Linked DNA regions of Sus scrofa. The main gene of each other region encodes a partner of the protein of the gene in region 6 in a complex. Links are inferred from orthologs where the notes say so. Each region holds a gene or a part of one and is shown on either strand. Other genes may lie near its edges. The genes, in order: POLR3E, POLR3D, POLR3C, POLR3K, POLR3G, CRCP and POLR3F.

The links.
Region 1: CRCP (region 6) and POLR3E share a complex: the UniProt entries of both Homo sapiens proteins name them as parts of the RNA polymerase III complex. The link is inferred for Sus scrofa from reciprocal best matches to the Homo sapiens genes CRCP and POLR3E.
Region 2: CRCP (region 6) and POLR3D share a complex: the UniProt entries of both Homo sapiens proteins name them as parts of the RNA polymerase III complex. The link is inferred for Sus scrofa from reciprocal best matches to the Homo sapiens genes CRCP and POLR3D.
Region 3: CRCP (region 6) and POLR3C share a complex: the UniProt entries of both Homo sapiens proteins name them as parts of the RNA polymerase III complex. The link is inferred for Sus scrofa from reciprocal best matches to the Homo sapiens genes CRCP and POLR3C.
Region 4: CRCP (region 6) and POLR3K share a complex: the UniProt entries of both Homo sapiens proteins name them as parts of the RNA polymerase III complex. The link is inferred for Sus scrofa from reciprocal best matches to the Homo sapiens genes CRCP and POLR3K.
Region 5: CRCP (region 6) and POLR3G share a complex: the UniProt entries of both Homo sapiens proteins name them as parts of the RNA polymerase III complex. The link is inferred for Sus scrofa from reciprocal best matches to the Homo sapiens genes CRCP and POLR3G.
Region 7: CRCP (region 6) and POLR3F share a complex: the UniProt entries of both Homo sapiens proteins name them as parts of the RNA polymerase III complex. The link is inferred for Sus scrofa from reciprocal best matches to the Homo sapiens genes CRCP and POLR3F.

Annotation. Positions count from the first base shown.
Region 1 is NC_010445.4:23,877,832-23,882,019, forward strand, and holds the start of POLR3E (DNA-directed RNA polymerase III subunit RPC5), read right to left. Parts: upstream 2,801-4,188; 5' UTR 2,650-2,800; intron 1-2,649. UniProt on the Homo sapiens protein: DNA-dependent RNA polymerase catalyzes the transcription of DNA into RNA using the four ribonucleoside triphosphates as substrates.
Region 2 is NC_010456.5:6,519,670-6,523,812, reverse strand, and holds the start of POLR3D (DNA-directed RNA polymerase III subunit RPC4), read right to left. Parts: upstream 2,801-4,143; 5' UTR 2,650-2,800; exon of another isoform or gene 2,640-2,649; intron 2,410-2,639; 5' UTR 2,405-2,409; coding exon 2,240-2,404; intron 315-2,239; coding exon 271-314; intron 1-270. UniProt on the Homo sapiens protein: DNA-dependent RNA polymerase catalyzes the transcription of DNA into RNA using the four ribonucleoside triphosphates as substrates.
Region 3 is NC_010446.5:99,491,338-99,495,515, forward strand, and holds the start of POLR3C (DNA-directed RNA polymerase III subunit RPC3), read right to left. Parts: upstream 2,801-4,178; 5' UTR 2,465-2,800; coding exon of another isoform or gene 2,363-2,464; 5' UTR 1,879-2,362; exon of another isoform or gene 1,835-1,878; intron 871-1,834; exon of another isoform or gene 866-870; 5' UTR 846-865; coding exon 699-845; intron 172-698; coding exon 1-171. Other genes in the region: E3 ubiquitin-protein ligase RNF115, read left to right, coding at 2,363-2,464. UniProt on the Homo sapiens protein: DNA-dependent RNA polymerase catalyzes the transcription of DNA into RNA using the four ribonucleoside triphosphates as substrates.
Region 4 is NC_010445.4:41,570,389-41,574,528, reverse strand, and holds the start of POLR3K (DNA-directed RNA polymerase III subunit RPC10), read right to left. Parts: upstream 2,801-4,140; 5' UTR 2,757-2,800; coding exon 2,568-2,756; intron 1,206-2,567; coding exon 1,118-1,205; intron 484-1,117; coding exon 356-483; 3' UTR 1-355. UniProt on the Homo sapiens protein: Core component of RNA polymerase III (Pol III) which synthesizes small non-coding RNAs using the four ribonucleoside triphosphates as substrates. Can mediate Pol I proofreading of the nascent RNA transcript.
Region 5 is NC_010444.4:97,646,756-97,651,055, forward strand, and holds the start of POLR3G (DNA-directed RNA polymerase III subunit RPC7), read left to right. Parts: upstream 1-1,500; 5' UTR 1,501-1,639; intron 1,640-4,300. Other genes in the region: MBLAC2 (metallo-beta-lactamase domain-containing protein 2), read right to left, coding at 483-936. UniProt on the Homo sapiens protein: DNA-dependent RNA polymerase catalyzes the transcription of DNA into RNA using the four ribonucleoside triphosphates as substrates.
Region 6 is NC_010445.4:16,619,206-16,623,168, reverse strand, and holds the start of CRCP (DNA-directed RNA polymerase III subunit RPC9), read left to right. Parts: upstream 1-1,163; 5' UTR 1,164-1,377; coding exon 1,378-1,385; intron 1,386-3,963. UniProt on the Homo sapiens protein: DNA-dependent RNA polymerase catalyzes the transcription of DNA into RNA using the four ribonucleoside triphosphates as substrates.
Region 7 is NC_010459.5:26,729,339-26,732,838, reverse strand, and holds part of POLR3F (DNA-directed RNA polymerase III subunit RPC6), read right to left. Parts: intron 2,235-3,500; coding exon 2,122-2,234; intron 1-2,121. UniProt on the Homo sapiens protein: DNA-dependent RNA polymerase catalyzes the transcription of DNA into RNA using the four ribonucleoside triphosphates as substrates.

The DNA.
Region 1 (4,188 bases), about 7.3 Mb from region 6:
TTAATCCGCTGAGCCACAACAGGAACTCTGAAGCGATGGTTTTTACCCTCAGTCATTAAAATTAAAAATACCGGTTACAATCCCTCTAAGTTGATTTCACATGCCACTAATAAATCTGGAACTGCAATTTAAAAAGTACTGCTCCAACTAGTCTTTCCTGCCTCCAATCCTCCCAGAAACAGCCAGAGTCGTCTTGCAGAAAAAGCAATCACATCATTTCTCTACTCAAAGCCCTTCAACTATCACATAGAATAAAATCCAAATTCCTTTCCGTGGCCTCAAGGTCTCATGTGAGGCTAAGCCCAAGTCTGCCCCAGGACCTTTGCACCTCGTCTATTTTCCTCCTTTCAAGGCTGACCTCTTTTCATTAGATACCATCACCCAGCCCCTCCAGGAGCAGAGAGGTTCTCCGACTATCCACCTTAAACAGCACCTCCGCCCTGTAACTGTTTCCAGTCACGACCACATTCAGGTTCTTATCACCATCTGGAAAAACCTAGTCTATTTGCTTCTGAGTTGTCTATCTTCTGCATTAGAATGTAAGCTCCATGACAGCCTCTCAGGGCTTCAACCACAAAAGTTGAAGCTGAGTTGATAGAGGGATTACTATCTTTTTAAAAAAATTCATGCTGATCTCCCAATATGTAGAACAGGACCTGGCATAAAATTATCACTCAATACAGTACACAAAACGCATACGTCAGGCAGCTACAGACCCTGTACCCAGTGAGTCTAGCTCAGCCCCACTGAGAGACTAGTGGCCTCATGGCTTGGGTCTCCTGGACACATGAGGATAGGGGTGTAGCCTGTCCTCCCAGGCCACCACAAGCTAAGCTTCCCTAGCAGGAGTGAGTGAACCCCTGGGCCTCCACAGGGTGACTTGTGGCCACAAGGGGACACTGTGGCTGTGGCTCCATGGTGCTGGGCACAGAAAACAGACCCCATCAGGGGTTTTGCTCGACAAATGGAAAGGGGACAAGAATGCCAGGTGAGCTAAGGAGGTGTTCAGAGCAGAGGAGCAGCCTGAAGGCCCCAGCCAGCTGCATCCATCTATGCTGTCCACCAAACTGAAAAGCAGAGGGGACTGCAAATAATCTCCAGCTCCTAGAGGGAGTGAGATAGGGTGAGGACAAGATGCTTCGGAGTTAAGGGGAAAGGCCCCTGGGCAAATAGTCTCAAGGTCCGGGTTCTTATTGGCTGTGTGCCCCTCCACACGTTCCCCCCCTCTTTGGGTCATCCCTTTCCACTTCCATTCAAGGGAAGGATAGCCTAGGGGCTAGAAGAATTACCTCTTAAAACTAGAGTCAGACCCTCCCTTCTCCAAGAACTTAAAATACATATTCCCATTTCTCTGCTCAATAGCCCTTTAAATCAAGATTTACCATCTCCAATTAAGAAAGCAGAAAACAAAGTTCAGAGTGTTAACTTACCCCAGGGTCACAGTGCTGGAGAACGGCAGAGCTAGGACACAAACCTAGGTCTAGCTGATGGCAAAAGATCCTTATTCTGGTTCTTAACTACTATGCTGCAGGCATCTTTAACAAAAAGCAGGATAGTACGGTGGGTAAGAGCATGGACTCTGAGGCAGAACTCTGTAAGTTCAAATCCCAGGTCTGCTGCTCGCTACCCTTGTCCCACCTGGAGCTGTTTGATCTTAGGACTGCTCGTTATTTTCATCCCTAAAATGGGGATAACAAAAGTACCGACCTCAGAGGACTGTGGTGAGGGTTAAATAAGGTATAAATGTAAGCCAAGGACAGGTTTGTTACAACTTGGCACATTTTCTTCCAATATAAAAGGGTAGGAGATCTAGCCAGGAATCAAAATGCTGTAAGCTGGGGCTTCTCCCGCCTTACCCTACTTAGTCCTCACCACAACCCTATGAGGTGGGGAATTCTGTTATCCCCATTTCACAGATAAAGAAATTGTGAAGCTTGCTAAGAGCTCTTTCTGCCCCCAAGCCCCAACGATTCTAAAGCTAACACAACAGAGCGACCTTGTTTATTTATTTACTGGTTTACTTGACGTGCTTACTGACACCTCTTCCGACCAAATGGTCAGGGCTGTATCAGCCGCCCGTAGTTGGTTTTCAATTAGCCCTGAGTGGTGGCTGGAATAAATGAATGAAGAAATCCGGGCCTGGCCGCGCGGAGGCTGCTCTGGTTCAGCAGCCAGGAGAGGGCCTGGGTATCCTCCCCCTGCCCATCAGGGCGGGCCGCCGGCCCCGAGCCACACTGTCCAATGGGTTTCGCCTCCCTCGCGGGTGGTCAGGCCCCCTTCTCACGCCCACCACGCAGCCATCGCTACGAGCCGCCACGCCGGCAGGTCACCGGCTGCCTTCGGACAGGTGCTCCCATAAGGAGGCCCGCCTGAGCCGGGCGGGGCAAGGCGGCTGGCCCCTGAGTCACCGCCGGCAGCCTCGGCCGCGGCCTCACCAACCACCGGGCCCAGCCGAGGTCGAAGCCCGCGGCCGGCCCAGGTCGACTGAGGCAGGTTGCCCGTCCTTCCCCCACCGAGTCCCGAGCGGCCCCCGGCCTCTGGGCACCGCGCGGCGCGGGCCTCCCGGCCTACTCCGCAGCCCAGCCCAGGCCCACCTCCTGAGTGCGGCCCGGCTCCAGCCCGGGCAGGCGCAGCCCACTCGGCACTCACCTCTCCGCGGGGCCCGCAGGCGGGCGGCTGCAACGGCCCAGGTACCCGCGGGCTGCAGAGGCGGCGGCGGCCCGGCTCTTCTCTCAGGCAGCGGCCATGTTGCCGGTGGAGAAACTCGGGCGGACACGTGGGGGGAGCAGGGCCAGCCCTCGCGCTTCCTTTTACCCACAATGCCCCGCCCCGGCGCACGCGGACCCGCCCCCCTCCGCCGCTCCATTCATGAGGTGAGCCAGCCCTTCCCGGCAGCAGGGGGCGCTGATGCTGGCGCAAAACAGCTGCAAACCGTCAAAAGATTGACCTTGGCAGCGGTGGGATTCGAACCCACGCCCCCGAAGAGACTGGAGCCTTAATCCAGCGCCTTAGACCGCTCGGCCACGCTACCCGGTTATGCAAAGTGCCTTCCAGAAAACTACTTCATACGTTTATGTGCATTTGCGTGTACGTTTCTTCTTCCGCTTAAGTGCTTTACTTCATCTTAATAGAACTATTTAGAATATACCAGGTACAGAAAATAAAATATTTCCTCTAATATTTAGACCAGTCTTGTTCCGAACCGATCTTAGAATGAAAAGCAGTTTAAGAATCTGTATTCTTAGTGGGCATTAAACCCGGAGACCCTAAATTAACCCACACGGAAGACATCATGGACTTCAGCAGTAACCTGCGCCAGGGGCTCCAAAAGCCAAACCAGGGGGATTTTCGAGTGGGCCGTTTTCTCTAAAAGCTCAGGTGTTTTCATTTTTAGTTACACAAGTTTTATGTGGGTTATTGCAAAATATTAAAATTTTTCAGACGAAGTACCAATGTTCTTTTACCTTTGTCCCCCATTGAAGTCCCTCCACTTAGTACACTGTGTATCCTTCTGGATCTTTTGCTGTGAATTTATATGGATATATACGGATATATTCATATGGATAGATATATCCATGGAGAGTGTTTCGTTTTTATCATTGTGGATTTTTACATGAATATAAATATTATTATACTATGATTATCTGCAGCTGACTTTTTTCACCCCACTATGTTTCTTAAATATCTATCCAGGTTGATACATATATAGATATTTAAAAATACAGAAAAAGCGCAAAGAAAAAACAATTATCCATACACCCACCACCTAACGTTGTGGCATTTCACTTTCAATTTTTTTCCTATGTATACTTTTTTCCCTACCTATATGCTTTTGTTATTAAAAGTACGAATATGTTGTCCTTTAAAAAATCCATTAAAAATATTAGACCATTACAAATAAAAATGGACTATTACAAATAAAAATAAAAGCCTCTTCCCAAATGTCATGAATTTGATGCGTATCCTTCCAGTCCACTTCTCATACTTTTCTATCCACCTGTCCACCCCTGTGTACATATACCCAGGAACAATATATACTATGATTTTTTGCTTTTCATTTATGTAAACCTTACTATATTGTACTTATATCATTCTGCCACTTGCTTTTCTACTCTAGTTATGTTTTTTCTATTTATTTTTGACAGATGTAGATCTAATTTATTCCATGCTATGAATATGGAATTTACG
Region 2 (4,143 bases), on a different chromosome or scaffold from region 6:
CAGTATTTTTTTAAAGCTTGCACATCAGAATCCCCTGGGAGCCTACTGACAGACCACTGTAAAAATCAACTACAATAAAAAATTTTTAAAAAATCCCCTGGGAGCCAGGGTTGAAAATAACTACTGAAAAGAACTAAATCTATCAACTTAAATTTCTCTTTTTTTCTTTCTTTTTATAAACTTAAATTTCTGAACCACATACCTACTTCCTTCCCCCAAAGCCCAAGTATGTAAATAAGGAACAAGTATTCAGAAGGTCTGGCTACTTACTCTTCCTTGATCTTCCGACTGATGATATTTGGGGTGAAGGTTTTCTGAAAGTAAAATACCGGAGTTACTGATTTGGTTAAGTTCTGATCCCAAAGCACAGAGGAAAATAAAAACTTCCAAAGGGCATTTTCTATGGATAAAGACCAGCAAGGTTTTATTCTACACACGCCACACCGTTGTCAAAGATTTACAGAAATGGGCATATGCTCAATTTTTTTTTTCTTTTTAGAGCCACACCCTCAGCATATGGAAATTCCCAGCAAATTCAGGCTAGGGGTCGAATTGGAGCTGCAGCTGTTGGCCTAAGCCATAGCCGCAGCGACACTGGATCCGAGCCGCATCTGTGTCATATACACTACCGCTCACAGCAATGCCTGATTCTTTTTTTTTTTTGTCTTTTTGGGTTGCTCTTGCAGCATATGGAGGTTCCCAGGCTAGGGGTCTAATTGGAGCTGTAGCCACCCGCCCACGCCAGAGCCTCAGCAACGCAGGATCTGAGCCGTGTCTGCAACCTACACCCGAGCTCACGGCAACGCTGGATCCTTAACCCACTGAGCAAGGGCAGGGATCGAACCCGCAACCTCATGGTTCCTAGTCGGATTCTTTAACCACTGTGCCATGATGGGAACTCCAGCAATGCCTGATTCTTAACCTACTGAGCGGAGCCAGAGATGGAACTGGCATCCTCACGGATACTAGTAGGGTTTATAGCCCACTGAGCCACAAAGGGAACTCCTGTACATGTGCTTGAAAAGGAAGAAAGTCACATCATAGTGGCAGTGGAATTACATATAGAAGAAACAGGCACCAAAAAACATTTAAACAGCAGCTTCAGCTTCTGCCCTCTGAAAGGAGAACTTCGGGACTTCTAACAATAAGGAAATTTCCCTAATCTCACTCCTTGTCTTCAAACTGCTACAGAGACCACGTAGTATCACAGGGAAAGAGCTCTAGCAACAAGGCTCCAGTAGGGAAGACAAATTAATTAGCACTCATAAGCAAATGACTGGGTCAGAAGGCCACTAGAATTTCCCAAAGTAAACTCATGCCTTCAAAAACTGGCTGCTTGGAGTTCTTATTGTGGCTCAGCAGTAATGAACCAGAGTCCAGCAGCTACAGCTCCGATTCAACCCCTAGCCTGGAAACTTCCATATGCCGAGGGTGTGCCCCCCCCACAAAAAAAAGACAAAAACTGTCTGCTTTATGTTCTGTCATCCTCCCCATCCCCCCTTTAAGGGCTATCCTTTACATCTACAGGCAATTAAACATAATACAAGGGGACAGAGCCTCTAACACCATGCCTAGGACTCATAATACTTTGGATCAGATGTCTGCACACTGGGAACCACAGCAAATTCAGAGCTCTTTAAAACTGCAGGCAAACTCTATGCCTGGGTGGCTTTCGCAGCTTTTTGGGTTTTTTTTTTATCTTCTTTTTAGGGCCACACGGCCGCACCCCCAGCATATGGAGGTTCCCAGGCTTGGGGTCAAATGTGAGCTGTAGCCACTGGCCTCCACCACAGCCATGCCAGATCTGAACCAATACTGTGACCTACACCACTGCTCACGGGCAACGCGGGATCCTTAACCCACTGAGCAAGGCCAGGGATGGAACCTGCATCTTCATGGATACTAGTCAGATTAGTTTCCGCTGAGCCGGGATGGGTACTCCTTTCAGCACTTTCTTAAGGATGTTCAAAACACACATAAAAAGGAAATGAACACTGCTCAAAGTGCTTTTGATCTAATTAGGATTCTCTGCTCTTCAGCCTTTTCTGAGAGCCATGACAACATTTTGTATCCAGTAAGTAGCTTGACTGGAAGGTAGGGGCAGGTTCCCCGATATTGCAGGCAAGATTCGTGAGGCCTAACGCTATGCCTGCCATACTGAAGGCCCTACAGGTACTTCAGTCAAAGGTGTCTGCAGTTTAGGGCATTTGGATTCATTTAGAATGGTGCCCTCGGGTACCTTCTTGACTCCTCCGAGGGTGAGGTCCCTGGAGCGGATGGAGGGAAGGCGGCCTGGGGTGAGGGAAGGCGCCGGCCTCCTCCCGATAAGCCCCCGGGCACCGGGCAGGAGGGGTCGGGACCCTCCTGGAGTGCTGGGATCGCCGGCGGCGTTTCCTTCCGACATGTTGCCTGGGGCAGAGAGAGGAAAGGAGTAAAGAAGTCACTGAAGGAGGAGGACATGCGGACCCTGGCCGGAACCCCACCCACGTGGCCTCCTGCCCCCCAGTCAGCGCGGCCCTCCCGCAGCGTCCCAGTTCCTCCTCCTCCCACGTGGCGAGACTCCCCGGACCACCCCCGCTAGAGCCCTTGGCTCGCTCTCTCCTTTGGTCCCCCCGGCCAGGCACCAGGCACGGACGCACCTCAACGCACCTGGGCTGCAGCTCCGCACCTCGCGCGTCCAGACTTCACATCCAATGCGACCCGCAGCCCACCCTAGGCCTCCGCGCCGGGCGGAAGTCTGCGTGGCAGGGCCCGGGCGCCGCCATCTTGCCGTGGGGCGGAAGTGAGGTCGGGGGGTGGGGCTGGGCCACACTATTTATCCCGCGGCTCCTCGCTCCCCTCCGCCTTCTCTTCCCGGTTCTTCCCGGAGTCGGGAAAAGCTGGGTTGAGAGGGCGAAAAAGGAAGAGGGGACTGGTTTAGGTTACGCCACGTTGCAGCGCTTGGGGGTCGTGCCCCGGAGCGTGAAGTGGAGCCGTTCAGCTCTGGGTCTGGGGGTCGGGCGGCGAACATGATGCAATGTGGGGATTCGCTGCTGTGGAGCATCCGGGTCGAGGCTCACGATGGGGCGTGGGACGCGGTGTAGAAAGCAAGACCCCCGACTCAGAATCGGGGAGTTCTGGGCCAGGCCTCGCTCTTGTTCAGGGATCCCTTACCGGGCACAGCGCTGGAGCAACTAATGCCTAACGGCACCTGCCCTGGCTTCGTGACTTTGGGCCGTTGTGTGCATTCTTGGTCCAATCCTGGAACCAGAAAAACGAAGTTTGCTCTACTGGGAGGGGCAATTTTAAATAACTTTTCTCGTGACTCCAACATTTGTAATTTAACCTAGAAAAAAAGATTCTCTACTGTCATTCCTCCCACCCCCAAATCATGTGAAAACCGTGTAACAACATTACAGAAAGCTTGAGAGAAGGAAGACTTTTGTTAGAATCACACATGGAGTAACTACTAAAACTTTTCTGCTATATTCCAATCCCCTTCAGAGATTTCTTATTGTACCACAATTTTGAATCCTCCCATTTCAAATAACCTTTCTTCGTTGCTGCATCAAACGACTGCGCGTAATTCTCATGAATTATCATGATTTGTCTGTTTTCCGGTTTGATCACTTAAATTATATCTTTTCTAGTGTTGTAAATAACAACGTAGTGAACACCTGGTGCATTTAAAATTTTTTATTCTTTTGGATTATATTCCTAGGGTGAATTTCCAAATTTGTGATACCTAGCCACAAGATGATGTACTTTTTTTTTTTTTTTTTTTTCTTTTTAGGGCCTCAGTGGTGGTATATGGAGGTTCCCAGGCTAGGGGTCTAATCGGAGCTGTTGCCGCCAGACCAGAGCCCCAGCAACACCAGATCTGAGCCGCATCTGCGACCTACACCACAGCTCATGGCAAGAGGGATCCTTGACCCACTGAGCGAGGCCAGGGATCAAACCTGCGTCCTCATGAATGCTAGTCAGGTTCATGAACCGCTGAGCGGCTACAGGAACTCCAAGATGCACTTTTTCTTAAGTAAAAATTTTTATTTTGAGATAATAGATACATATGCAGTTGTAAGAAATAATGCGAAGAGCCAAATTCTCTACTCAGTTTCCCCAATAGTAGGATATTGTAAGCCAGAATATCAACATTGTCAATCA
Region 3 (4,178 bases), on a different chromosome or scaffold from region 6:
AATCAGCTCTCCAGTGTCACTGTACAGCGTTTTGGCAGTATAGATGTACCGGGGATACCTAAGCATTCGCAACACCCGGCTGCACTGGGCTTCATACTCCACCACACCACGTTTGTGCACTTGATATATCACCAGGTTATGCTGGATGAGGACACAAAGGGCTTTTTTAACCTAGAGAGGACACAAAAGAAAGAGAAAAAAAAATTGGAAAATGCAGTTCATTATTGTTGGCAATTTCTGTCCAACAATTTACTAAACTTCAGGAGATGGCTGGAACCTCCGTGCATCTTCTCTCTCTCCATTGGAATAGCTGTTAAGAATCGCATTGTTCATCTTATGAAGAAATCAGGAGGATTCCTAGCTCATATTTCCTCTGATCTTTATCTTACAAAGTACAACTTACTTGCTCTCTGTTACTGCCATTCCTTAAAGGTAGTGCTGAAATTAATAGACTCATCATGCATGAATGAAGTATGGCAAATGAAAAGCACAGGTTTGCCTAAGAAGCCACAGTGAGCCAGATCGCTTTGAGAAGCAGAACCTTAGGCACTATGTCTCATCCTCTCTCCCTCCCAATGACACTGTTCTGATCTCAGTGTAGCTCTCTTTTGTATTTTGTGGGGTGGGGAGTAGTAATATTCAAGGGTAGGTAAAGGAAACTAATGAAATAAAAGCAAATTAGTGTGATCCAAACATACCTGATCCAGCGATGTTCTTGTGTCATGGGCAATAACTCTTAGTGGCTGGCTGCCAGTTCTGATTAGGTGGACTCCAATTTTTTCTACAATCTCTCCAAAATGCTCTTGCAGCAATAAAGAACACAGTTTAATTTCTGCTTGAGTCATTGTACTGAGAAGTCTCAGACCTGAGAAAAGAAAAGAAAAGAAAAGAAAAAATAGCACGATGGGAAGTTTTTCTTTTATGTTGGAGTAGAGCTGCTAAGTGTAAATTCATGTACTTTTTGGAGGGCAACTTGACAGTAGATACGTCAAAAGCCTTAAAATCTTGCATATCTTTGACCTAATACTTTTGCTTTGGCTATTTTGTTTCAAGCGAATAATAATGATGTCACTTTAGAATACTGACATTCCAGAAACAATATAATATCTAACAATACGGGATTATTTCAATAAATTATGGTAGACTCATACAATGGCATACTACGTCTATGTTTACAATGAAGTGTAACATGTATTAGTGTACAAAATTGTTCATTAAGTGAAAGAAGCAGGTTACAAAGCAAAATGTAGAAGAAACTTAAATTATTGTGAAAAAAAAACCCCCTTTTTTCTTATAGGTATAAGAAAAAAAAGACTGCAAGACAATATATCAAACTTATCCTTATGGGATGTACGAGTCCAATTTTCTTTAAATATCGTGTGTAGATGATTTTATTTGGAGGAATTAAGGACACTATTCACAGCCTATTGGGAGTGAACAGGAAGTGTCATTCCCAATCCGTAAGAAATGACAACTTTGCAAAATAAATTAGGAGCGTCTCAACAGAGTGTTTCAAACAACAGATGAAGCATGTTGTTGGCAGGGCAGTATTCTGAAATTTCTACTCCTTGACAAAGTAGACACAAAAAGAAACAAACATAGTTGACTATAAAATCACTTGTTGTCATAAGTGCTACCACACACTGGTCTGTTCATTTATTTCTCCCAATCCCTCAGAAGCCAAGACTGTGTCTTTCAGTCTCAGTATTCCCACTCACAGGTCTTTGGGGAAGTATCCCCAGACCATCTGCCATCCTTGATAAGGATTTCCAAGGAACCTGGCTCCTGATTCTACACTTCCTTCCCCCAGGTTCCGGTTCCGGACTGGGTCCCTGGGTCTAGAGAAACGGCCTCATTCAGACCGCATTTTCCACTAACCTCTGGGTCAATGCAATCTAAAGCCGCCGCCGACCTCGTGCGGCTCCAGCCAGCGGCTCGAGCAGAAGGCACCCCAAGGCCCTTTTGCGCAGGAGCCCGGCCAACGAGGAGGGTCAGCAAAGAGGAAAAACGTGTGCCGCTCTACCCCAGCGTTTCGGTGGTTTCCGGGGACGCTCTTGCTTCCTTCTCGCTGGGAGGTTGGAGGACCGGCGAGGGGTGTTAGAGGAGCCGGCGGGAGGGCAGCGCCGGACGGACTCTCCTTCCTGTAGCTCTTTGGTGCCGGGAGGCGGGCCGTGGGGTCGCCGTCCTCGCCGACGCCTTGTGGGCCGGGCGGGCTCACGTGACCCGCGCGGACTCTGGAGCGGCCAGCTGCGCTGAAGAAGCGGCGGCGGCGGAGGCAGAGGCGTCTCTTGTAGCCGGGAGGTAGCGGCCTGGGGAGCGACGGGCCGGCTGCCCTCTCGGACGGCGGCGCCGGGAGAGAAAAATGGCGGAGGCCTCGGCGGCCGGGGCCGGCGCAGGCGCCGCTGTTGCCGCGCACCGGTTTTTCTGCCACTTTTGCAAGGGCGAGGTCAGCCCCAAACTACCGGTAAGAGTGTGTGTCCTCTGCACGCCAGCGTCCGCGTGGGTTCCTCGTCCGGATGTCCCAGAACGGCGCTTAGGCTTCCCGCACAGCCCCGACTCCCCTGACATGGGTATCCCAGGTACCTGCTGCCCACTGTCTCCTAAACCCCGGGCGTCCGGGCTGTGTGGCTCAGTAACTCCCGCCCAGCCTTTTTTCCATTCGGATGCTCCACCTGTCCCTCACTCTTTCCCCTTTTTACCTGCCCTCTATTATTTTTTTTTTCCTGGTTTTCCTTAGCAAGTTTTCTGCTGACCCCCTCCTCTCCGTTTTCTTACATTCTTCTTCACCTTGTCTCTTTCCACAATGACCTCCCCCCCCCTTCCGCTGTTGCTTCTCATCTTTATTTCCTTTTCCACTTTTCATCAGATCTCCCCTTCCACTATCCTCATTGAAGCAATATAGCGGATTGCTGAGGATTGTCTTTATTCATTGTCTCTAGGGAAGGAGGGAAGAAAGCGGGGCGGGGGGGGGAGGGAGGGTTGGAAGGTAACTGGGCAGAGAGGGGGATTTTACTCTTCAGGGGTTTCCAGCGTTCTTGTGAAAGTGAAAACAGCGGTGTACTAATGACTTGCGGACTGCGATCCCAATCACTGTCGAAGGAAATGGCTTTAGGAAGAAGGCAGAACATATTCTTTCAACTCTCTTATTTTGGTTGTCATGCTGCCAGTATCTTTAGCACCACCTGCCTTACCCGCCCCTCCTTCCCCTCCCCCATTCTCTCTCTTCACTTAGTGAGAAGATCTAGGACAGAATGTTGGGGACTGCATCCTCTGACGTAAAATTGGTTTTCGTCAGTTTCTGCCAGACTGTGTTAGCCCCTAGAGAGGTAGTGCTGTTGGCTGTGGAAAAAAAGTGCTTCTGCAGCATGCTTGCCAGCTATTGCACCCCAAGCCCAGAGGCTGTTTTAGGTTGAGTTACTACTGCAGGGAGATCCACCAGGGTGAATGTTAATCCTACCTTTGGCCAACCATCTTTAGAACTAGTTATGGTTGTTCTTTTCCTTAGAAGTATCTTTGTTCAGCCTTAAGAGGGTGTCTGTGTAACTACTTATCTCAGTGTTTATAGTGTCTCAGATACAATCTGTGAGAAAGCCTATTAAAGTGTGTCTCTGTGTCTTAGTTCTTAGAAACACCAGTGGAGTCCAGTGAAAAGTGCCTAAACAGTATTTTAGCCTTTTCACTTGAGTTGTGCTTTTTCAGGCTTTTGCTGTATTTTCTTTCTTCTCTATTTGCCCCACCCCTAACTTCATGGTCGTAGTTTCATCTACACGCTCTTTTAGTTTTGCTTGGATGATTTGGCTGTGTGTCTGTGTCTGTGTGCTTTTTGCTATACTTCAGTGCTGAGAAGAGCAGGTGCCGTGGCTTGTTTGTTTGTTTGTTTGTTTTTCCAGTGGACATTGGAGGCTCCAGAACTCTTCCTTACCACAGAGAGGGAGTCTGGAATTCAGCCAGTGCATGTGTGATGAGTGACATGTTGAATGTGATGCCCTAATGAACAGTGAGGCCTTGGCTATTCTGATCTTTAAGTTGCTGTTCACCGTTTGCCTTTGAGAGTGAGAAAACAGTCTAACTTTCCTCCACTTACTGTATCTTTTCTCCCTACCATCTCAAGTCCTCACTTCAAAGTGCTCTTGAAAAGGGCTCATTTGAAAGACTTTTTAGGTGTTTTTCTAAGCCTT
Region 4 (4,140 bases), about 25 Mb from region 6:
GTCAAAGCCCCATTTTCTTGGGTGTGCCAACATATAAATAAATGTTTACGAGCGTCAGCTGGTGGCGAGAGAAAGCTCACTGCCCACTAAACGGGAAAGATGGATAACAGGACCCTAAATAAGACGCACTTGGTGTGGCCACTGCCCCCAAACACAAGTTCTCCCTGGACGTCAGCAAATTCATCCACTGCCTGGGCGATGGGGGCCATCTCCTGGCCCCCCGGCCGGGCCACTCTGAGAAGGCTGGCTTTCTGCCACACCGGCAAAGATGCTCAGAACCCGCAGTTCCCTTCCAGCTGGGAATCCGCCCTGGGGAATGAGGTGAGCAGATGCTGGGCAGCGGGGCCACCCGGCCCTAGTCCCTCCAGCGGTGTCCACACTGAGCATTGCAGCACTTGTAGAAGGTGGTCATGGGCTCGTCGGCAGAGCGGGTCTGGAGCTGCATGAAATAGGCCCGAGGATGCTCACACTTGGGACACGGCTCTGGCGTGAGAAAAACAAGGGACCCACGGTTACTTCAAAAAGGATGCCCAGTGTGGCACAGAGGCTGAAGAATCCGACTGCAGCGGCCTGGGTTGCGGCTGCGGCGCGGACCAAGTCCCTGGCCGGGGAACTTGTGGCATGTGGAGGTAGCCCAGAAAGGTCACGGTCATAAGGCAGTAAGCCACCTCAAGATTCGAAATCAGGTCTGAACAGCTCCAAAGCTTGTGCCGACACTGGTTTTGGAACAAAGAAAGTATCAAGGAAGGAGTTCCTGTTGTGGCGCAGCGGAAACGAATCCGACTAGGAACCATGAGGTTGTGGGTTCAATCCCTGGTCTCACTCAGTGGGTAAAGGATCTGGCCTTGCTGTGGCTGGGGTGGAGGCCAGCGGCTGCAGCTCTGATTAGACCCCTAGCCTGGGAACCTCCATATGCCGTGGGTGGGGCCCTAAAAAGCAAAAAACAAACAAACCAAAAAAACCACCACATGAATAAATAAAAATTTCTAAGAAATTATTAAGGAAGAAAATATAGACTTCCTCTTCGCAGAAGCACAAGCAGACTGCCACGGAGGGGCAGAGTCAGCAGCCCCGTACCATCCACAGCTCTGCCCGGGAACAGGCCTCTCCCTCTCACCTGCGGTGGAGTCGACGTTCTCCCAGGCAGCTGCTCCACCAAGCACGTCATCCACTTCTTTCAGCTTTGGGTACTTCCGATTCGTTACCTAACAAACAACAGCCACTCTTCAGTCTCTCCAACTGACTGAACCGCACACCCCAGGATCACCTAACCACACCTGCCCGCAGGTGTCTGGCTTCTTCCACCCTTCAACCCGGACGGGAGGGGTACTGGACAGGCAGAGGCCCTGCTCCATCAGAACTTAGAGGACCCATGATTGGACTGCCCCAAGAGAAGGTCTCTGCAAGGACTGGACAAAGCAAGAGGAGCAAGAGAAGCATGGCTCGGGTATGGCCCTCCTCTTCTCCCACACCCCCTAAGGCTGGGTAGCCCGAGACGAGGCCCCAGAGAACTGAGGCCAAAGAAGGGCAATCTCAGCCGGGGAGCCGCCCCCCCCCCCCAGGCTCCGGGCAGAGCTTTCTAAGCACTTGCCAGGTTCTACCAGCCGTCCTTGACCTGTCGGGGTAGGTAAGAGTCCACCCTCCGCGTCGTTTCAGACCCTAAACTCCCACAACACGGCCACATGGCAGGACACTATACAAATCTATACAAATACTAAGGAGAAAGTAGCACTTGGGAGTTCCCTGCTGGCTCAGCGGGTTACCGCCCTGGTTCTGTCCCGGTTCTGTCGCTGCTGTGGTGCAGGTTTGCAGGTGTGGAAAGCGACATAAGCAAAAGAAATCTTGGTGACTCCATTTTGCTGAAATGCCTTCCTGCAACCCCCCCCCCTTCCCTCTTCTCCCAGTAACAGTTTGTTTCAAATTAGCCAACTGGGAAGAACGTGCACCCTGACCTGACCCACGGGAAGGGGACAGGGTACATCCCCTGTGTTAGGGATAAACAGGGGAGGGTCCTTTGTTCGGGGCACGCGCACTTTTTGGGGTGCCCAGCGCCCTTCTGCAGCAGTAAAGAGCCTTGTCGAGATCTCCCCGTGTTCACGTGCCTCATTTTTCGACAATGACGATCCGAGCCACGTCCCCAGCACAAGGAACTTGTGCATGCCAGGGTGCCGGGGGCGCGGCCAAAACAAAAACTAAACAAACAAAAAGAAAGAAAGAAAAGAAAGTATACTGGAAGGCAGTGAGCCCTATATGAAAAATAAAACTAGGGAACGGAAAGGCCGCATTTATATAAACAATCCCTTAGGTAAATACAGGCAGGAGTGACAGGAACGAGTGAGTCCCTAGGGGAAGAGCGACTAGAACAGAAAACTCCTGCACAGACCCTGGAAGCAGCGCCTTGGGCAAGACCGGGGCGCCTCCGAGAGGCTGGCGGTGCGGGCAAGAGGCTGCTGGGACGCGAAACCCAAGCAGAGGACGGAGCTAGGGGAGGTGAGGGTCAGGGCCTGGCGCGCTCCGCGAGAACGACGGCTGCGGCCCTGCGTGCCGGGAGGCCGGCGCGGACCCACCTTGCGGGTGATGTTGTGCACATAGGGGCAGGTGTTGCAGGCGAAGCGGTGGCAGCGCTGACCCTCCTCCACAATCAGCCCGTTCCCGCAGCCTGGGCAGAAGAGCAGCATCACGACAGCCCAGCCTACGCTCCCTGCAGCTCCCTGGCCGTGGACTCCGGGGGCTTCCGGGCGCCCCGAACTCCCCATTGGTCCCGGCGGCCGCCTCTCAGCAATCAGCCCACCAGTAGGCACGTCGGCTCCGCACTCCCAGTGTGCACTGCGGCAGGCTGGCTCCCAAAGCATCATTTCTCATTGGTCCTGGCGGTAGCCCCGCCCCTCGACCAAAGGCCGGGCCGTGGGTGGCTTTCCCCGCGGGAAGCCCGGGAATCCCGGGCCCGGGTCGCGAGAGGCGGTGTGGGGGCGGAACCCGCGGGCTGCGAGGCGCCCTGGAGGTGGCGGGGGCCTCGGGACGGCCAGAGCCGCAGGAGGACGAGGAGGATGAGGAAGAGGCACTGCCGCACTCCGAGGCGGTGGACGTTTTCCAAGAGGGTCTGGCCATGGTGGTGCAGGACCCGCTGCTCTGCGACCTTCCGATCCAGGTGCGCATGGGTCGGGGCCTCTTCCCCCGCTCCGGAGCCCAGCGTCAGGGAGAGGACCGATTCTGGGGTACCGATGATGGCAGCGGCCCGGAGACCTCCAGAAGCGGCCTCAGGGCGTAAACGAGGGTCTAGGCTCCGACTGGGCCTGGGAGGCGAGCGAGGCACTGGTCTCCGGCGCGGCATTTACGAAGGGTTCCCTGGTAGTCTAGCGGTTAAGAACTCCGCCATTGTCACTGCTGTGGCTCGGGTGCTGCTGGGCGTGCGTTCGACTGGCAGAGGAACTCTCGCATGCTGCGGGCATGGCCAAAAAAAAAATAAAAAAGGAGCGCCAAAAACCCGCTAGTCAGGACACATGACATTTCAGTATAGTGTTTTGGTTGGTTTAGGAGGTTTTTTGTTGTTTCGGCTTTTTGTTTTTGTCTTTTTAGGGCCGCACCTGGGGCATATGGAAATTCCCAGGCTAGGGCTGGAATCCGCTGGCCTACACCACAGCCACAGCAACTCAGGATCCAGAGCGGCATCTGCGACCTTCAACACAGCTCATGGGCAACGCAGGATCCTTGACCCACTGAGTGGGGCCAGGGATGGAAACTCCAGTACAGTGTTTTTAAAACTCAACATTGGTTTATAAAGACCTAGGGTAAACAAAATGATATCATGTCAGATAAAAAGACCAGTATTAAAGATTTCTGGAGTTCCCATCATGGCTCAGTGGTTAACGAATCCGACTAGGAACCATGAAGTTGCAGGTTCGACCCCTCCCTGGCCTTGCTCAGTGGGTGAAGGATCTGGCGTTGCTGTGAACTGTGGTGTAGGCTAGTGGCTACAGCTCCGATTAGACCCCTAGCCTTGGAACCTTCATATGCCGCCAGTGCAGCCCTAAAAAACCAAAAAAATGAAAAATAATAAAGATTTCTCCATTCTCCTCAGGCTTCAGTATGACCTGGCACACTCCTGTTTTTAAATCTTTGTATTTTGCCCATCATGAAAAT
Region 5 (4,300 bases), on a different chromosome or scaffold from region 6:
AAGCCTACAGGTGTGAACCGGGCAGATGAAGTCAGCAGTTCTCAAAAGCATAGAGCATGACATGCACTCTCCATGAGGCGTCATTCCTTTTAAGGAAGACTTTTCGCTAGAAAAGTGCCTGAAAATGTCGGACAGATGTTTGGGGAAAGAATGGAAATCCTAGATATAAGACTCTGTTGGTGTTATTGCTGTACGTTACACAGGAAACTGACTAGGGGGTGGGGCCGGCTCTCATTTGAGTACTCTGCATTGCTACCCGGTGCCAGAGCTGGTCTCCGGTAAGGAGGACTAAGACGGCCTACCATCGACCTGATGTCGACTGGGGTTTTGAATCAGGAAGGGTGAAACAGAAGTAGTGTTTCTGCGATGGGACAAAATAAGGCCCCTTACAGCCACGCACGTCTGCAACAAGCACTCCTCGGACAGTTTCTCCCCAATCCCTTCCCTTAATGAGAGAGCGCGCGCTCGTGAAGGGCCATTACCATCCTGCAGGATGAGGGTGGGCTGCACCGCCTGCACTCGAAACTGCCTGGCCCTCCAGCCGGGGCTCGGAGCCCGGACCACCTCACTGTCGGACAGCCAGGTCACGGTTTCAAAGTTGTCCCCGCGAGCCAGCGCCTCGGCCTCGGCGTGGTGCACTGCCACCCGGTCGAACTGGTAGAGGCCGCCGGAGTGGTCGAAATGCACGTGAGTGGCCACAGCCAGCAGTGGCCGGCATGCCGCATCCTCTTTGGCCTCGCGGTCCTGCAAAAGGCCAGAAGAGTACAGGTACTCCGGGAGGCTGCGCAGGCCCAGGCCTGTGTCGATCACAACGTCTTGCTCCGAGCCTCGCACTAGCCAGATGTTGGCGCGGTTGCCTGACTCATAGAAGCGTTCCTGAATCCAGAAGATACCGTCGCCCAGAGACTTGTGGGCGTACCACTCGAGCGCCGACATGCTGAGTAGGGATGCGGCCAGGCGGAGTGGGTGTGGGCGTGTGTGCCTCCTGCAGGCTGCCCAGACTCCGGCGCTGCGGCGGGATAGACTGGTCTGCCTGCAGTCGGGAAGAAGGCGCAGAGCAAGAAGGGGGCGGGGGATGCAAAAGGAGTGGGAGGAGAACTGGGAGGAGGAAGGACTCTCGGAGACGCTGCCTTCCGCACCCTCCCTCCCGGTCCGCAAAGAACAGAGACCTATCTCCTTGCACCCCGGTGCAGAAACAATCGCAGCATCAGAGGCCACAGCAGAAAGTAGCGTCAATTCAGTAGACAAGGGATTCAGAAAGCGACACTCTTCCTACCGCCAGGTGTTTGACTGTAGAGGGCAGGGGCCAGGTTTGGAAGGCCCCAGGGCCGCCCACACACCGCGCGCCGTGATGCGCACTTCCAGCCGGCGCAGAAAGAGTCAGGCCAAGGAGGTTGGACCGGTACGGTTCCCGCCAAGGGATAAAAAGCTCTCTCCCCAGAGGGCGGGGCCTACCTAGCGAGTGGGCGGAGCTAACTGGTGCGATCGGAACGCGATTCTGAGGCCTCGTGGAGGGCGGAGCGCGTTTTTCCAGAGGTGGAACCAGCACTCGGCGTCGGAACCTTCTGTCCGCACCCCTTCCTTGCCGGCCGGCACTTCGGCCGCACAGTTTTCTCAAGCTTCGAGACTTAGTAAGCAGGTAACAGAGGAGGCAATGGAGGGGTTGGGAGGAGATGGAATGAGTAGGGGGGGGAGTTAAAGGGGCACGTGGAAAAGACCGGGGAAGGCAGGAGTGGAGATTCATTAAAGAGCCTCTGGATTGAGGGACGTAGCGAGATCTCTTAATCCCTTCACAATCTTTTGAAATCGTCGTTCCAGATTTTATCTTGTCTCCACTTATTAGGACTGTTTTCAGTGAGTTCGAAGGGAATTTATGCTTTTACTGATGGTTGATTTTCAATTCCGATGGTATGATTGCTTCAAACACGAGTCATTGCCGCAGACTTGCTGCTAAGGACGCACTATTCAGTACGTTTTTTGTTTTTTGTTTTTTACCGTTAGCACTTTACCCTGTACTGTGAGGAGAGGTGTTGTTGATAAGGTTTTACTTCTCTTCTGAAAAATTAAATTATATATTCCTTCCCCTCCCCTTCCTTGTTTTGGTTACTTTGCCCGCTGTTGGAAGAGAGCAAAGAAAGTTGGTAGAAAGGCTCAACTAAGGAAGGGTGGAGGCAGCTGCACCTTGTGAGGGCAGGAAAAGTGGATAATGATTGGGTGTGGCCCCATCAGCTGAAAAAATCATCCCTAGTATTAACATAAGGTCCCTGTCCCCATCCCTCAGCTCCTCGCTGTTGGTATATCCATTCAGACTTAAACAATTCCCTTGAGAACTCGACTAACCTCCCTATCCAGCCAGGAAAAATTATAAAGAGACCCATGAGACAGCATTATAAAAGATAATTATGAAAACCCTTATTGTCTCAGCTACTAATAAGCCTTCATAGAGGGAGAGGTGTTCTCTCCTTCCCTATAAACCTTAAGTCTTTGAGGGGGATGCAACTTTTCTGAATGTTTACCTAACCTAGTTAGAATTTATCCAGACACTCTGTTCAGGGCTATCCTTATGTACAAGTCCCTCAGCTAAATGATGTGTGAAAAACAGAATTGTGTTGTTTTTTTTTTTTTTTTAAAGTCATGATCTGGGTTCTCAGGAATTTGAGGGAAGCAATATCTTCACAAAAATGTTTGCAGTAAAAAGCAAATGAGATATGTACCCCAGAGGAAGTAAAAACCAGGTGCTATGAGAATATGCATGGAAGGGACTGATGAGTAGAGGCATTTGAGCTGGCCTTAAAAGACCACTGTTGTTAGGATGTTCTCAGCACGAAAGTAGAGAGCTCTCTGTAGTTTTATTTTTCCTCTAGGTAAAGGGAGGTGAATTGGAGTGATATTCTTACTAAGCCATGAGCTCAGCAATAATTCATCCAATTTTTATTGGACTTTTGCCAGGCTCTAGTTGGTGATGGGGCAGGAAGAGGTGAATAAATCTTCAAAGAGGCCTTCACACTTACAGATCCTTCTGCTTGTATTACACTTTCCCTTGTATATCCTTTCCTGATTCTCAGCATGGCCTTTTCCTTCTGTCAGTTTTGTGCTCAAATATTACAGAATACAGGACCTCTTCAACCACTCTTTCTGTAATAGCACCCATGTTTCCTGCTTTTTTTTTCCACATCACTGATCACTACCTGACATTTTCTATGAAATATTTTTTCCCTTTCCTGTAGTAGACTCTAAGCACCATGAAAACAGGGGTTTTGTTTTATTCACTATTATATTCCCAATTCATAGAAGATGGCCTGACCTAAGAGTGCTTAATTAATACTTGAAGAAGGATAACTGAAGAACTTATGGGGAGACAGACAAGAACTGATGATTACAACATGCTTTTTAAATGGTAATAAAACAGGGTAGTATTTGGGAGACAGAAAAGAGAGAGGCCTAGCTCCACTTAGGGTGGAGGAAATGGTCTCAGAGAAGTGGCATTTGCATGGTATCTTAAATGATGATGGGGCTTGCTCAGGTGGATGTGGCATCCCAGCAGAAAGAACACTACAAGCAAGAGCTGATATGGCAGATTTGGGAGTGGTCAGGAAAGGAGAAGGTGCCAGATGCACAAAGTCAGACTCCAAAGCTCTGTTGCTTAAGAAGGAGAGTGAAACATCAAGGTTTATGTTCTAGAGGGATGTCTGGAGAGTGGTTTGAAAGAGGAAGTCTGGCTATGGGAAGGTTGGTCCGGGTCAGGGATGGTGAAGAAAGGCAGATATGTGAAAGGGGACACAGAACTGATAGTCTTCTACCATTAAATGAGGATATCAAGGGAGTCGAGGACAAGGTCAACAGGACCAGCTTCTGAATAGGGCAATTTAAGTGTCATTCATCAGGAAGGATACTGTGACCAGACTTTCAGTGCCTCTCTCAGAATCCATACCTGCTTATATGTTTATTCACTTAGCAAATTTGTGCAAGAGACTGTGAGAAGTGGAAGACAATACATTTAAGCCACAATTATAACTCACAAGGTTAGAGCTAGGAGGAATTTCGGGCATGAGCGCAACCTCTGCCACAAGATTGTTTCCATGCTTTTGCATTTCAGCTCTTGGATGCTTGAACTGCACTTGTCAAACTATTTTAGAACACTTCTGAACAGAAATTTTCAGAAAGCATCCCAGAATGGAAGGGTGGTGCCTCTGATTTTATATTTTTAAATCCAATCCATTTGGTCATTACTATTCCACTTCATTGTAAAGATTAAAGACATCTCTGCGATTTAAAAGGTCTTCAGCTAACCTGGTAGTGT
Region 6 (3,963 bases):
ATATCAGGGAATAACAAAACGCTTATCAAGGAGACAGTGTTTAGTAAATGATAACTGATATAATTATAAAAAAGTGGAAAAATTAGCAATTGATTCATCACCTAAAGACACCAGCCATTTTTAATTTTTGGCATATTTCCTTCCAAATACTTCAAACATACTAAAAATTCAGAAGAAAATAGACATCAGCCTTCCACTTTTTTTTTTCCTTTTTGTCTTTTTAGGGCTGTGTCTGCAGCATTTGAGGTTCCCAGGCTAGGGGGTCGAATAGGAGCTGTAACATCCTGCCTACGCCAGAGCCGTGTCTGTGACCTACACCACAGCTCATGGCAACACTGGATCCTTAACCCACTGAGTGAGGCCAGGGATAGAGCCTGAGTCCTCATAGATGCTAGTCGGGTTTGTTAACTGCTGAGCCACAACAGGAACTCTTTTTTTTTTTTTTTTTTTTTAAGACACAAAATTTCATAGATTAGGTGGCTGTATCACCCTTACCCTGAGGTCTTTTTTCCCCTATGCATTATTTTTCTTTAGATTATTAGAGTCACAACACATCATTTTCCATCTTAAAAAAAAAATCTGTCTTGAGCATTTCCCCAGCATATCAAATATGCTACAAGATTACTTGGGCCACATATATCGTACTGCATACTGTATGGCTGAAACACGATTTATCAATTTTCCATTGTTGGGTATGTAGGCTATCTCCCAGCAAAATTATCATTACACGTTGATCTTTCGTCAAGCATCTGATGATTCCATTTGGGCAAATTCTTAGAAAGGCCAGATCAGAGACTGTCAAGAAGTCTCTTCATAATTTTCTGACAAATAGTGAAGAATGGGAACAGGGAGAAGGGAGTCTGAGATTTTTTTTCACCTTTTAGAACGTTTTATTCCATTATAACACACATACAGAAATGTGCACATAAGCTACAGCCCACCGAATTTTCAGAAGCACCACCTACTCGGCGTCCAGATCCTGAAAGAGAGCATGTCCAGCAGCCCAAGGCCACCTCGCCCCTTGCCATCGCTACTATCCAAGGGGTGGGATTTTAACGCTGCAAATGCCTACGAATCCGATTACATCTTTGGATTAATACTTGGATATACCCTAGACCACGAAAACGTGAGCTAAATCCGTCTGCAAACGTTTGACAGCCTGAGGTCGGACCAAGAGCGCAGAGACGGGTCGGGAAGACGAGCCAGCAACGCCCCCGGCCCCACGGGGGTCCTCCAGGATCCCGGCATGCAGCGCGGCGATCCCGGCGTGCACCGCGGTCCGCGGAGTCGGTTTCCGGGCGCTTTGCTCGGGCGGCGAGAGCAGCGGATGGGCGGTGAGGGTCTGTGTCCGGCCGAAGGCGACGAGGCGGGGACGACATGGAAGTGTAAGCCGCCCGGGGCGCGTCGTCGGCTCAAGGGCGACGCTCAGAGCTGGGGACGGCTAATTCCTGGGAGCCGGGAGATGTGGGCCGGGGGCGATTCCTCGTCCGGGCGGGCGGGGAGGGCGGCGGGCCAGGAGGCTAGGAAGGGACTCTCCCTCCGGCCTTCTGAACCTTCGCCCCCTCTCCCACCGCGTGCTCAGGACGTGGGGCGAGGGCCACTTGGCCCGGCTGCCTTTAGGGGTGCCAGGTGTCTGTTCCCTCCCTCACGCACTCAACAGCGTCGCCAGGTCGCGGTGGGGAGCTGGGTATGAGAGCAGGGACTTATTAAACCCTGGGTCCGGCCTGGAAGTACCTGGAGGAGAGGTGGGGAAATGCTGGAGTAGAGTTTTGCTTAGGAGCAGTGGGCTTCTGGGGAGCCCGGATTCAGAGGAGGTGCTCTGCAAAGTAGTTAAGAAGCAGGTAGCCGTGTGGGGTTGGGGTGGGGGGCTAGGAGTAGAAGCCATTCTAACAATTGTAACTCCACATCGGCTTTTCCATGTTTGCTCCTTGTACTGCGTGCAGAGGGAAGTTTTTGCAGCTACTTTGTATGTGGATTTTTATACCTATGTTGCGTTCTCTTTGGCAACATGTTTATGTTTTGTTTGCTCTTTAGGGCCACAGGTGTGGCTTATGGAAGTTATCAGGCTAGAGACCAGGGATCAAACCCACATCCTCATGGATACTTCTCGTGTTCATTGCAGCTGAGCTAGGACAGGAACTCTGATTGTTTAATCCTGACATTTTCCTTTATGTTCTTTTACTTCATGTTTCACGTTTATATGTACTGTTTTGCAGACTTAAACACACACACACACACGCAGTTGGAGTTCCCGTCGTGGCGCTCGTTAAAGAATCCGACTAGGAACCATAAGATTGCGGGTTCGATCCCTGGCCTTGCTCAGTGGGTTAAGTATCCGGCATTGCCGTGAGCTGTGGTGTACGTTGCAGACGCGGCTCAGATCCCTCATTGCTGTGGCTCTGGCATAGGCCGGTGGCTACAGCTCCGATTCAACCTCTAGCCTGGGAACCTCCATGTGCAGTGAGAGCAGCCCAAGAAATGCCAAAAAGACAAAAAAAACCCAAAAAAACCCAAAAAACCACAATACGTATATGTATCTGAAGTGAAAGCTTCCTGAGACAGTGTTGTATACAGTAACTCTAGTAGTCTCTTCTATTAAAATAGAATGTTGACTCCTTAAATTGATTTTGCCATCCTCTATCTTAGGTTTGTTTATGCTGAGCCACCATGGGAACTCCACTTTCTATTCATTGATTTTTTTTTTTTTTTTTTTTTTATGGCCGAGGAAGTTGATGTTGTGGCTCAGTGGTTAATGAATCCGACTAGGAACCTTGAGGTTATGGGTTCAATCCCTGGCCTAACTCAGTGGGTTAGGGATCCGGTGTTGCCATGAACTGTGGTGTAGGTGGCAGACTTGGCTCCGATCCTGAGTTGCTGGGACTCTGGCCTAGGCTGGTGGCTACATCTCTGATTAGACCCCTAGCCTGGGAACCTCCACATGCTGTGGGTGCAGCCCTAGAAAAGACAAAAACACAGAAAAATTTTTATGGCTTCATGTCATTTGTAAGTTCCTGCCCCAGGAATTGAACCCAAGCCATAGCTGTGACCTGTGCCACAGCTGCAGCAACACTGAATCCTTTATTTTATTTAATTTATTTTATTACTTTTTTGTCTTTTCTAGGGCTGCTTCCCACGGCATGTGGAGGTTCCCAGGCTAGGGGTCTAATCGGAGCTGTAGCCGCTGGCCTACACCACAGCCACAGCAACACAGGATCTGAGCCTCATCTGCAACCTACACCACAGCTCACGGCAATGCTGGATCCTTAACCCACTAAGCAAGGCCAGGGATCGAACCCACAACCTCATGGTTCCTAGTCGGATTCGTTAACCACTGAGCCACGATGGGAACTCCAATGCTGCTGGATCCTTTAACCCGCTGCTCTTGGCCAGAGATTGAACCTTCACCTCTGTGGAAACCCAAGCTACTGCAGTTGAATACTTAACCCACTGTAGCACAGTGGGAACTCCTTCTGTTCATTCTTTTATTTTAATTTTTTTGGCCTCACCTGTGGCACATGGAGGTTCCAGTACCAGGAATCGAACCTGCACCACAGCAGCAAGCCACAGCAGTTGCAATGCTGGGTCCTTAATAACACCCTGTGCCACAGAGGGAACTCCCATTCTTTTACTCTTGAACTTAATATACATAGGGAGAATGGACTCTTCTCTATAATCTGTTTGAGATAATATCAGAATTTCCTTCATTTTATAGCTGGAAATACTGAGATTTAGAGAAGTTAGCTAAGAGGTCCTTAAGCAATTCAGTAACAGGACAGAAAAGAAGGTAATTTGTTTGCTAGCTCCTAAGACAGTGCTGCAGTTTAAATTGTTCATTGAGGGACTTCCCATTGTGGGACAGCAGAAATGAATCTGACTAGTATCTACGAGGATGCAGGTTCCATCCCTGGCCTTGCTCAGGGGGTTGGGGATCCGGCGTTGCCATGATCTGTGGTGTAGGTCACA
Region 7 (3,500 bases), on a different chromosome or scaffold from region 6:
TACATTTACTTATTTGCGTAAGTAGATGTAAATACACAAATTTTAGTTGTGACAGTTTTCTCAGACTTTCCTTGTTATTGATGAATTTATCAGTTTTGAGAAACTCACCTGAATGGCAAAAATTCTGTAGAATGTCCCTTAACTGGGATTTGTCTGATTAGACTGGAAAAAGGACCACAGAAGTAAAGTGCCCTTCTCATATTTCAGCAAGGGTACCTGAGCAGCACCAAGTGATGACTGACTGTCATCAATAAAACTTATCAGGAGTTCCTGCTGTGGCTCAGCAGGTTAAGAACCCTACATAGTGTCTATGAGGATGCGGGTTCAATCCCTGGCCTTGCTCAGTGGGTTAAGGCATTGCCGCAAGCTGCGGTGTAGGTTGCAGATGCAGCTTGGATCCATTGTTGCCATGGCTATGGGGTAGGCCAGCAGCTGCAGCTCTGATTTGACCCCTAGCCCAGGAATTTTCATGTGCTGCAGATGAGGCCACGAAAAGGAAAAAAAAAAAAAAAAATATATATATATATATATATACACACATATATATATATAAAACGTATCAGCATTGACATTACAAATTGATCACCTGATCTGGTGGTGGTTCTCAGTTTTCTCCACTGTGAAGTTACTTTCTGCCGCCCTTTCCATTTGTGGAAAGAAGCCACCATGCACAGCTCAGACTTAAGGACTGGGAGTTATGCTCTATTTCTTTGAGGATGGAAGGTCTACTAAATCATTTGGAATTCTTCTGCATGGGAGATTTGTCTGTTTCCTCCCATTATTGACTTATTCAAACATCTTTATCAGTATGGACTCATGAATATCTATTTTATATTTTGGGTTACAATCTAATACTGATTTTTGATTTCTAGTTTGAAACTTTGAAAACATCATGCTAGGTGAAAGAAACCAGGCACCAAAGACCACATTAAATGTTCAGAAAAGGCAAATCTATAAAGACAGAAAGTATGCTAATGATTGTCAAGGCTTGGGGACAGGGAGGCTAGGGAGTAGCTGCTAGTGAAGTCACATCTTAGGGTGATGAAGATATTCTAAAATTAGAAGAGTGTGATGGTTGCAGAACTCTGAATATATTACAACCCACTAAATCTCAATAAAGCAGTTACTAAAAAATATTTAAAAAAAAATAAGACACTTGATTGGCAACATGAAGCATGAAGCCAGGCATGGGTATGTAGGGATTCACTTTGTTATTTTACATACTTTTGTATATATTTGAAATTATTCAGTAAAAATACAGCAGAGAAATAATATTCTTTTTTTTTTTTTTTTTTTTTTTTTGTCTTTTTGCTATTTCTTTGGGCTGCTCCCGCGGCATATGGAGGTTCCCAGGCTAGGGGTCGAATCGGAGCTGTAGCCACCGGCCTACGCCAGAGCCACAGCAACGCGGGATCCGAGCCGCGTCTGCAACCTACACCACAGCTCACGGCAACGCCAGATCGTTAACCCACTGAGCAGGGGCAGGGACCGAACCCGCAACCTCATGGTTCCTAGTCGGATTCGTTAACCACTGCGCCACGACGGGAACTCCCAGAGAAATAATATTCTAAATGAGGGAGTGGTATGATAACTATCATTGATAAATAAAATCACTGATGACTATCAAATTCTTATATGCTGAATTTTGTGTTCAAGCACTTTATTTTTTGGCCACGCCTGTGGCATGTGGAAATTCCTGAGCCAAGGACTGAACCTGCACCACAGCAGTGACAAAACCAGATCCTTAACCCACTGAGCACCTGCAGCATGTGGAAGTTTCCAGCTAGGGGTCAAATCGGAGCTGCAACTGCCAGCCTACACCGCAGCCACAGCAACACCAGATCTGAGTCGCATCTGTGACTTACACCACAGCTCATGGTAACACTGGATCCTTAACCCACTGAGGGAGGCCGGGGATCAAATCCACATTCTCATGGATACTAGTCAGATTCATTTCTGCTGCACCACAACGAGAACTCCATGACCTACATTTAAAAAAATCTTTTTTGGTCAGTTGTTTTAAATCATGACATAGCTTAAAGAACAATAAGAGCCTGAAATATACTTGGAGAAATACATGTACAGTGAACGTTCAGGGGAAGAAAAGAGAAGACTACTTACTGCCACAGACTTAACAGCTTTGATAAGCTTTTTACTTTCTAGATTCTTTAGAATTTTGTTAATTTCTGTCAATGGCAAGTTGCTTTTGTATCGGATATCTCTGCTCCATATTCCTATAAGAAAGTAAAGTAAAATAAGTTGAACATTACAGGATTTGTGTTTCTCTTCCCATTGCTTATATCTCATTACAAATCTAGCAAAATACATATATATGTATGTGTACCTAGGGCAGAGCTATAGGAAAAACGACTAAGAGGTAAGAACCTCAGACAGAGTAACAAAAATATTCAACACAATACAGAAATTATATGTTCTATTTGCTAACTGGAAATTTCTTGAAATGCTAGTGTGGCCCCTTTTGAAAATCATATAAAAAGGACATTTTTATAATGTTAGAAAAATCTTGAATATAATTGAATTAACTTGTATTGTTTTTTCCATGCCCTCCTGCACTCTAACCCCTTTTTTGTGGAAATTTCACTTTAGACTGTTTATGTGAAAAACAAAATTAAGTTTGGGCCAGGGTGAACTGCCATTCTCAATATAGAGCAAAAAAAAAAAAAAGCTCTTTATGGGAGCATCTGTATGCATGTATGTCCATTATTTATACAACATTCTGTTTGGAAAACAGAAAGATTATACTTCTTATGGTCACTAAAGGCCTGTGCAGAAAGCTATGATTTTTCTTTCAAAGAAGGAAATGTGTTACATAAAGAGAATTTATGTAAAGATATTTTGCTGCATTTTCTTCCCAGCATAAAGGCATGAAATAGGAAGAATATTTTATTTTTTGTCTTTTTGCCTTTTCTAGGGCCACTCCCTCCGCATACGGAGGTCCCAGGCTAGGGGTCGAATCAGAGCTGTAGCCTCCGGCCTACACTAGAGCCACAGCAACATGGGATCCAAGCCATGTCTGCTACCTACACCATAGCTCACGGCAACACCGGATCCTTAACCCACTGAGCAATGCCAGGGATTGAACCTGAAACCTCATGGTTCCTAGTCAGATTCGTTAACCACTGCACCACGACAGGAACTCCCCAGAAGAATATTTTAAATAGAGAATGATTTATTCATATTTGTTTTTATTTATTTTTTTTTAATTTTAGGGCTGCAGGTGCGGCATATGGAAGTTCTCAGGCTAAGGGTTGAATCAGAGCTACAGCTGCTGGCCTACACAGCCAGATTTGAGCTGCATCTGCAACTTACACTGCAGCTTGTGGCAATGCTGGATCCTTAACCCACTGAGAGAGGCCACGGATTGATCCTGCATCCTCATGGATACGAGTCAGGCTCATTTCTGCTGAGCCACAATGGGAACTCCTGTTTTCAAAATGTTAATTTAACTTTCTAACATATATAAAAATCACATGATTTCA